Drosophila melanogaster: one gene and its partner. The protein of the gene in region 1 binds, or shares a complex with, the protein of each later gene. Each region holds a gene or a part of one and is shown on either strand. Other genes may lie near its edges. The genes, in order: thoc7 and thoc5.

What was found.
Region 2: thoc7 (region 1) and thoc5 share a complex: the UniProt entries of both Drosophila melanogaster proteins name them as parts of the THO complex.

Annotation. Positions count from the first base shown.
Region 1 is NT_037436.4:210,983-214,740, forward strand, and holds thoc7 (thoc7), read right to left. Parts: upstream 1,706-3,758; coding exon 1,636-1,705; intron 1,578-1,635; coding exon 1,463-1,577; intron 1,398-1,462; coding exon 716-1,397; 3' UTR 654-715; downstream 1-653. Other genes in the region: Prp4k (Pre-mRNA processing factor 4 kinase), read right to left, coding at 1-237, 310-326; Dis3l2 (Dis3 like 3'-5' exoribonuclease 2), read left to right, coding at 1,768-1,802, 1,862-2,994, 3,050-3,758. UniProt on the Drosophila melanogaster protein: The THO complex is required for cell proliferation and for proper export of heat-shock mRNAs under heat stress.
Region 2 is NT_033778.4:23,952,355-23,957,098, reverse strand, and holds thoc5 (thoc5), read right to left. Parts: upstream 3,009-4,744; 5' UTR 2,936-3,008; coding exon 2,861-2,935; intron 2,801-2,860; coding exon 2,006-2,800; intron 1,952-2,005; coding exon 1,839-1,951; intron 1,781-1,838; coding exon 1,693-1,780; intron 1,640-1,692; coding exon 1,103-1,639; intron 1,047-1,102; coding exon 804-1,046; 3' UTR 693-803; downstream 1-692. Other genes in the region: CG16787 (uncharacterized protein), read left to right, coding at 1-678; CG3803 (uncharacterized protein), read left to right, coding at 3,184-3,276, 3,358-3,460, 3,518-3,650, 3,709-4,561; Stoml2 (stomatin like 2), read right to left, coding at 4,665-4,744. UniProt on the Drosophila melanogaster protein: The THO complex is required for cell proliferation and for proper export of heat-shock mRNAs under heat stress.

The DNA of each region.
Region 1 (3,758 bases):
TTGCTGCTCAGCCCGCAATTTTGTGATAGCTTTAACTTTGCGTTTTCCGGGGCGTCCGATTCGTTTGTGGATTCGCTTGTTCGGTGGGGGCGCTTTTTTGCCTTCTTCTGCTTCTTGTGGACATGCCTGTCCTTCTCGGTCTTGCCAGTCGAGGATTTTTTATGTTTTTTGTGCTTTTTAGCCTTTTTGTGCTTGGCCCGACGCTCTTCGGTCTCGCTGTTGTTGCTGGAGTCGTAGCTATTCGGTACAAGAGGGGAGCAGCCCAGGTCAATACACACACGTGCGGTCGGCTTAGTAAAATTAACCTACCTTTTGTCGTCAGCCATTATTTGATTGTTTAACAATGTAAACTGCAGATGCGCGCACACTGTGCGTTCATAAGGTGTGCGGTAATTCTGCAGATGGCTAATGAAACTTGTAATTTTCCTCTTATTGTATTCTTCCTCTTCGTAGCTTTTTTAGTGTGACTGCACGCCGGACAAAAGTAAATACGTTTTAAAAATACCTCCTGGGATTTCGGAATTATTTCTAGTATATATGCAAGTAAAATAAAAATATATTAAAATTAAATTTTATAACCCTTAAATATCGTCTTTGGCGCAAGTCTAAATTGGAAATAAAAACGAAGGAATTTCGAAACAACAGTTGAATTTGTATATTATAGTTCATGACATTTTATTTTTTTGTTTTTATTGTACATGCTAGCGCTTCTAACCTAATTGGCAACAGCTACATCCACGTCGTGCTCATCTTTGTCGATGCTTAGCTCAAGCACCGTGTCCTCTTCTACGGACATGGCTTTAGAGTCCTCAGTAGAGACTGAGTGATATTTGGGCTCGCCGCGGGCTCCGTCGAACTTTGTGGGAGTGCTATTGTTGAGATCGTCGTCTTCATCGCTTACCTCCATGATCCCATTGTCGTCTAGGTCCGGCTCAGAGCGGGCATCGCAATCGCTGGACGAGGAGGATGCCGAGGATGAGCTGTCCTGGTCCAGCTGCTGTTCCAGCTCGTGAATCGTGTACATCAGCAAAGTGAAGTCATTGCGTCGTTTCTGAAACTTGCGCTCCATCTTTAGCTTCTTTTGCACCAAGTCGTCAATCTCCCTCCTAATGGTCTCAATATGTCGCTGTGTTTCACTGCGGTCCGGTTGGTCCTGGATGAGCGAGGCCAGCAGGTCGTACTCCATCTTGTTCTTGCGAATCTGCTTGGCAGTGATTAGCTCTTTTTTACTGGATTCGATTTCCGCTTTAGCCAAAACAATACTTTCTTCGTGGTGTTCAACTAGTTGTGTGTAGTTGTCACGCTCACCGGCGATCATCTGCAGAGTTTGTACATTCTTTAACGCAGTGAGCTTGCACTGGGCGAATTGGGCCATCAGTCGGTCGTACATGATGGGACTGTAATTCGGAAAAGAGGAGATATGTACACCATGTTTTGAATACACACATATCCAATTTCTTACTTGCTGTCCAGCGAGTCACTGGCCCACTTCAAGAACTGTTTCAGCAACACTACTATTCTCCGATCCTCTCCAGTTCCATCCCCGTCAATCAGCAGGCGCTGCTTTATGATTTCTTCTGGAAGATCAGTTTAAATATCTATTCCCAAATGCGAAAATAAACAAAAACAACTTACCGTCATTCATCTCCACTAATTTCCGAACTAGCGTATCGGAGTGTGGCCGAAGCTGACACTGCTCCGACATACCACGCAGTACGGTCCTACTGTACTTGTCCTATCATTTTAATTTGGAGAAAGTATTGAATTATGCCTTACCCTTTATATCCCGCCCATAGCCAAGTGTAGTGCCGTACACTTTCGGACATCAGCGAATCCCATTAACTAAGTGCACTTCTTGCAGAATGTCGGAAACGTCAAGCGTCAACGTGGATGCGGACCGAGATTGCAGAAGGATTGAGGGCCTCCGACAGCGCTCACAACGCCTTGCTGCCCGCCTCCAGCAGATGCAGAGGGAAATGGAGTCTAATGCATCCAGCAAAGACCTATCGGCCAACAATGCCGTTATTCCGCTGCAGCCACTAATGCGCTGGGCGGAACCACGGCCACATCCCAACCAATCCCAACCATCTGCTCGGAGCAACAGCAGGCAGGCCATTCCTTACGGTGTGCCAGTATCCACGCCAGCGCCGGTAGCTATGCAATTGCCCTACCACGTAGCATTCGCCTCCTACCAGGCGACCATGCAGATTCCCTGCCTTCAGCCACTTTCGCATTTGCACGTCGTGTCTAGTCCCAGCCATCGGTTAATAGCGAAAAAGAAGTCGAAGCGGGCTCTTCGAAATGAGGTGGAAGCTCTTCAGGATATGGTCAAACATCTTTCACACCTCTCCCCAGATGTTAACGCGTATGCCTGCCAGCTGATACGTAAAAACGAGATCCTTTCTCAGCTCGAGTGGAGTCAGACCAGGTCAGAAGCACATCCGCAACAGGTTGGTTACCAGGGGCGGCATCGCCACGATTCTGAGGTCTCTGCTACAAACAATGGAAGTCATGTACAGCAGCAACCGAAACTAGGACGAAGGCAACGCAATAGCAAGAAAAACGATGGATCCGGTAGCAATGGGACCCAATCGCAAAAAACCGAACTAGAGGCCATGCGGTCGTACATAAACAAGATTGTCCAACGTCACGTGGGTATGGATCACCAGTTGTCGGAAGACTTGATTTTCAAAGGTAACTTCTCCGACCTGGAAGCGCATGCGCAGAGACTAGTTGCGGCGGGTTATGGGCGCATTGTAGAAGAGGAAATCCGGGTTAACCGCAAGAACAACAGACAGGCCTTTATAATCATGTCCACTGATCGAGAAGCACTCGAACGAGATGGCATCGTGCTCTTGCCAGTGGCTAGGCGCTATGCCTTCGATGGTGACAAAGTACGTGCATTCGTGCTAAACCCTGGTGCTCAGGGTAGTTCAAAGACAGCTGAGCCCTCGTCTGGTGAAATCTCTGGTGGGAAGCCCTCATTATCTCTTGGTAAGTTTATCGGCAAACTTATAATACTTTCGACTGATGATAATATCCTATAAAGCGGATGGTGAGGAGCTTTCGGACGATACCGAGTCCCAGGGCTCTGAGTCCGATACCGACAACGTGGTCGTGATATCGTCGGACAACTGCCCTAAAGCGTTCGTCATAGCAATAACTAAACGAACTGAGCTCCGCCAGATCGTGGGAACCATATCGTTTACGAACCCAACCAAACTCTGTGACGACCAGCTATTCTACAAATTCCGACCGTACGATTTGCGTGTCCCCATGGTCTACGTTCCGAAGGATGCCTGTGCCGCCCACATCGGAAACAAGCAGCAAATAGACGTGTCCGGCCTCTTATACCTTGCCCATATACTCGAGACAGATTGCAATGGGCACTGCATCGCTGAACTAATCCAGCCGGTTGGCCGCGTGGGTAATTTGGATGACGAACTTAAGGCAATTCTGTTTCATAACGGTCTCCGGGATATAAAGCCATTTGAGCAACGATTTATCGACATTTACTCCCAGCCGCCACCTCCGATAAGCCAAGAGGATCTGCGTCAACGAAAAGACTTAAGAAAGATGTGCATATTTACTATAGATCCGATGACTGCTCGCGATTTGGATGACGCCGTTTCTATAGAGAAGCTAGGCGACAACGAATATGAGATTGGCGTCCATATATCCGATGTTTCGCACTTCCTGATAGAGGACAATGAACTGGATAACATAGTGAAGGAACGCTCTACGTCTATTTATTTAGC
Region 2 (4,744 bases), on another chromosome or scaffold:
GCCATGCGGCTAAGTGCGTCTGCGCCGGCGAAGTGTCCACAAAAGTTGTTAAACAGCCATGCCGCCAATAACCTCCAGCAAAGTCGAAGGGCCTACGAGAGCACCAAAGCGGAGAGGCTGCCCGGGAACCCTAAGGAGAACGAGCGTAAGCCCGAGGACCTGGATAGAGCCTACGAGGTTCTGAGGACCACGCTACCAAAGCTGTTCGTGGAGCCCCTAGACTACTCCATTTACAGCCCGGGCCTAATCTTCCACAACAACATAACGGGCAAGCACACGGTGGGCCTGTACCACTACGTCAAACAGATCGCCATCCTGCGAACGGTTGGCCACCTGAAGTACGCCTACGTGAAATTCGAGGTGCTCAAGATCACGAAGCACCAGGACGACTACACAGTGCGGATAAGGTGGCGAGTGCGCGGCATTTCCGGCCTGAAGGTCATGTTCCAGTTCTGGAAGTACAAGCTCTGGCAACTGAAGGAGGTGCTGAAGGATCAGGAGGCCTGGTACGACGGCTACTCTGTCTGCTATCTGGGCGACGATGGGCTGATCGTCAAGCACGTCGTGGACAAAGTGATGCCGGACGAGAGTCGGGAGGCGGTTGAGAACCCTTCTGCGACGGCACTACCTCCCGGATCCTTGGCAGCGACCTCTTCCCAGAAGATCAACTGCCAATGAAGTCGTAGCTAGCTAGCTTTAAATGTTACTTATTTATTGTATTACTAATCGTAATAAACGCAACTGTGAGAACGTTTAGTAACCGCATTGGCGCATTGTGTTGTACAACATTCGTTATTCAACTGTCACTGCTTGAACGCGTAGACCGATCCCTTCTTGATGTATTTGTAGGGGCGTGAGCGGCTCCGCTTGGCGAAGGCGCTTATGTAAGGCTTCTCCTTGTTGTACTCAATGGTGTTTTGCATGGATCCCTCGGTTTCGAGGAATATATCGAAGCTGTAGATGGTGCGGAAGAGCTGCGCGTACAGGATGCAGTCGTTGGGCTCCAAATGTTTGGGCTGCAGGGAGTTGGTCCAGAACTCCATCATCTGAGGAATACAAGTTTAAAAGCTAATTGGAGGATAATACCTGAATAAGTTCAAACCTTGATCGCCGAATTGTTTTGCGCGGTAAGGCATCCGTTCCAGTGCACATTCAGAATCCATAGAGGCATTTCCAGTGGATAGTTACTCGGTATTCTAATAAAGCACTCCATTTTGGCCGATCCCCGGACGATGACAGCGCGGTAAGAGTTGTACGTAATACCCTTGTCCGCTGACGAAGAATTCAGTGCGTCTGAAATTTGCGAGTGAAGCTCCTCATGTGTGATGGCAGTCCATTGGACGAGACTGCACGACAGGCCGGCTGGATAGATGTTCTCCTGCAAGCTATACAAATCGATATCCTTGAAGGTCAGCCCGCGAATCTGCTGGCTTAAACGCTGCCAAGAGTTCAAGCGCCTGGCAATGCGGTCAATAATCTCCTTGTTGTTCTTATTCAAGTTCAGTTCGTGTTTGTACAGCATCGAACTGTTGACGGTTGCAATCGAGCACATACTTTGCAGCCAACAGAAGGGTTTTCCGTAGTCCTTGGCCTTGAGGTAGCGCACACATTCCTCGGCTGTTAAATCCGAGCTTCGTAGCTGAAAGAGCGTAATTTAATTGGTTGTCCAACGTTGGATAAGGAAGTTCTTACCTCGTATTGGATTCCCGGAATGGGTAATTCATTGCCCAAGTCATTGGGGTACAAATGCCGCAATAGGTGGTGAACAAAGTTTGTGTCACTGTGAAAAAATGCCTAGTTATTTATGCGATTTTTTCCTAGGTGTGTTCCAAACTTACCCCTGGCCGTTGGCATTCCTGGAGCAGTTAAGTTGGCCCCAGACAGTGGCACACTTGATAAAATCAAAGTAGCGAATCTGCAAAACGAGCTGATTCGATCCAGCCGCTCCAATCTTTAAAGTTTAGGTTAATAAATGTTTTGGAATGAGCAAACCATGTCATCCTACCGTCAAACAAATGTGTAGTGGGTGAGGAGCGAGTGAGTCGTCCAAGTTGTTTTTATCGGCAATCTTTTCCCGGTCTCCACTTTCCTTTTTAGTCTGTCTGTAGTTCAATGTGGAGCACTTTTTCTCCTTAAGCAACTCCTGCATTTGAGCCTCGCTCTCATAGCCAACCACCTCGGCGGTGAAGGACTGCTCCTCGCTGACCCGCTGCAGCGATTGCAGGACAATGAACAAAACGTAGAGCGGCTTGGGCAGGTACTTGACCACTGCGCTTAGCTTCCATTCCACGTCCAGGGATAGCTGGAGTGCATCGTGCAGCGGCTTTGTGGCGCTCTGCAGAGTGCGCAAGGCGGGTGCGAAGGAGACGTACCGCTGGGCGTGGCTAAGATTGTCCTGGAGCAGTTCCTGCTTGGAGCTCAGCAGGGCGCTGTACTGCTTGTCGAGTGCCTTCCGCAGACGCAGCTCGCAGTCGAGGCGATGAAGGTGCTGCTTGTGGCTGGACAGCTCCTCCGCGTCGTTGGGCATGTCTGGCAGCTCGCTGGAGTACTCGGCTTCCGAGAGCAGCTCCAAGCTGGTGTCCCTGCTCTTGAACTTCTGGCAGCGCACAATCTCCTTCTTCAGGTGGCTCACTTCGTACAGAAGATTCTGCAGCTGCAGCCGGCTGAGGTCCACCTTGCACTTTTCCAGGTGCAGCTTGTCGCGCCCCGCTTTGATCTTGTGCTTCACCTCGCGGTTGGCGTGCTTCAGAGCCACGAACATCAAGGTGGTGGCAATGCGAGCCTCATCCGTCGATTGCCCCTGCTCGTGACGGATGTGGACGGATTTAGAGCTGTACTCTGGCACGGAAATCGGACTTACCTTGCTCTTCGCCTCCTTAATTCCCTCTATGGCCTTTTGCAGCTGATCGAACTGCGTGTTCAATATTGTTTCCATTTTATTTGGCGAAATTGTAAATCAGAAGCCGCAAAAGTTGTTTTTATTAACAAAACTGATATAATGTGGCCAGGCTATCGAGTCGATAACATTCGCCGGTACTTTTCAAAATGATTTTAGTATATGCGCATACCCCACTGCTGCGGTCACACTTGGTAGCGGCTTTGTAAATATAGTTAAAAAACAAAATATATCCTTTAATATTTGCTGTAAGCTTAAGTTAATCTCTCCAAACTTGAAATAACACAATGCTGCGATTGCTCCAGAAGAGAACCAATCTCATAAAGCTAGTAGTACCCGGCCCCCGACTTCACCAGACGATTGCGCAAACAGCGATAAAGGTTGCATTAATATCCCACTGATTACATATAAAAATATGTTTTTATTTATAAAGTAATATTTGTTAATGCCGCACCTTTCAGGAAATCCCAGTGATAAAGCCCATCAGCACTCCGAAAAGCGACAAGACCGTCGGAAGATGGTTCCTGGGAGTCAGCGGCATGGTCTTCGTGGCCGTTGGTCTAGGTAACCAATAACAAAATGTAAAGTTTGTAGTTCCTTGCGAAAGTGAATCTCTTCCAGGCGGAGTAACCCGACTGACAGAGTCCGGACTGTCCATGGTCACTTGGAAGCTGACGGGTGAACGTATGCCCCGAACCCAGGAGGAATGGGTGCAGGAGTTCAATCTCTACCAGCAATACCCAGAGTACAAGCTGTGAGTACTCCCCAGATTCATCCAACGCCAGGAACTACATGCAAACTTCTGCTTTCAGAAAGAATGTGAATATGACCGTGGAGGAGTTCAAGTTCATTTTCATGATGGAGTACATGCACAGGATGTGGGGTCGTGCCATCGGCGGGTTCTTCCTTTTGCCCGCTGTTTACTTCTGGAGAAAGGGATACTTCTGTGCGAAGACCAAGAAGAGCGTCCTGCTGCTGGGCACACTGATTGGCCTGCAAGGTCTGATGGGATGGTACATGGTCAAGTCCGGGCTGGAAGACAGGTTCCAGGATCCCAACGACGTGCCACGGGTATCCCAGTATAGATTGGCCTCCCACCTGGCAGCTGCCTTCGTCCTGTACTCACTCTCCCTGTCAAAGGCCATGTCCCTGCTCATCCCCACGAACACATTCGTGATCCAAGCCAAGAAAGCATTTAATATCAAGGGGCTGACGCATTTGACGAAGGCAATGGTCCTGCTGACTGCCATTTCTGGAGCCTTTGTAGCCGGACTAGACGCCGGACTCGTGTACAACTCGTTCCCGAAGATGGGCGACAAGTGGATTCCCGATGACATGTGGACGTTTGCGCCCATACAGAAGAACATCACCGAGAATCCGACGACGGTGCAGTTCAATCACCGCATCCTTGGTATTAGCACAGTAACGCTGACCACCGCTCTGTGGCTGGTCACCAGAAGGATGCAGTTGCCCAAGCGCGCCAACTGGGCCATCAACGCCGTGGTGGCTATGGCCTGGACGCAGGCCACGCTTGGCGTAACCACCTTGCTTAACTACGTGCCCGTGCCTCTGGCAACGGCCCACCAGTCGGGCTCGCTTATTCTGCTGAGTTTCGCATTGTGGCTGTCGCACGAGGTTCGACTGTTGAAGTACCTTCCGAAGTAAATAAATAGGCGTTTATTTGTTGAACCAAAAATTTAATATCCTCGCCTTGATAATAACAACTATGAGTGGGGCAAATGTAATAGCAACAACCGTTTATTCATTCCTATTCAATATTCATTTTCACACTGCTTTTATCCTCCTGCAACTCCTTGTACTCAACACTCTTTGCGTTCAGGCAGGCGC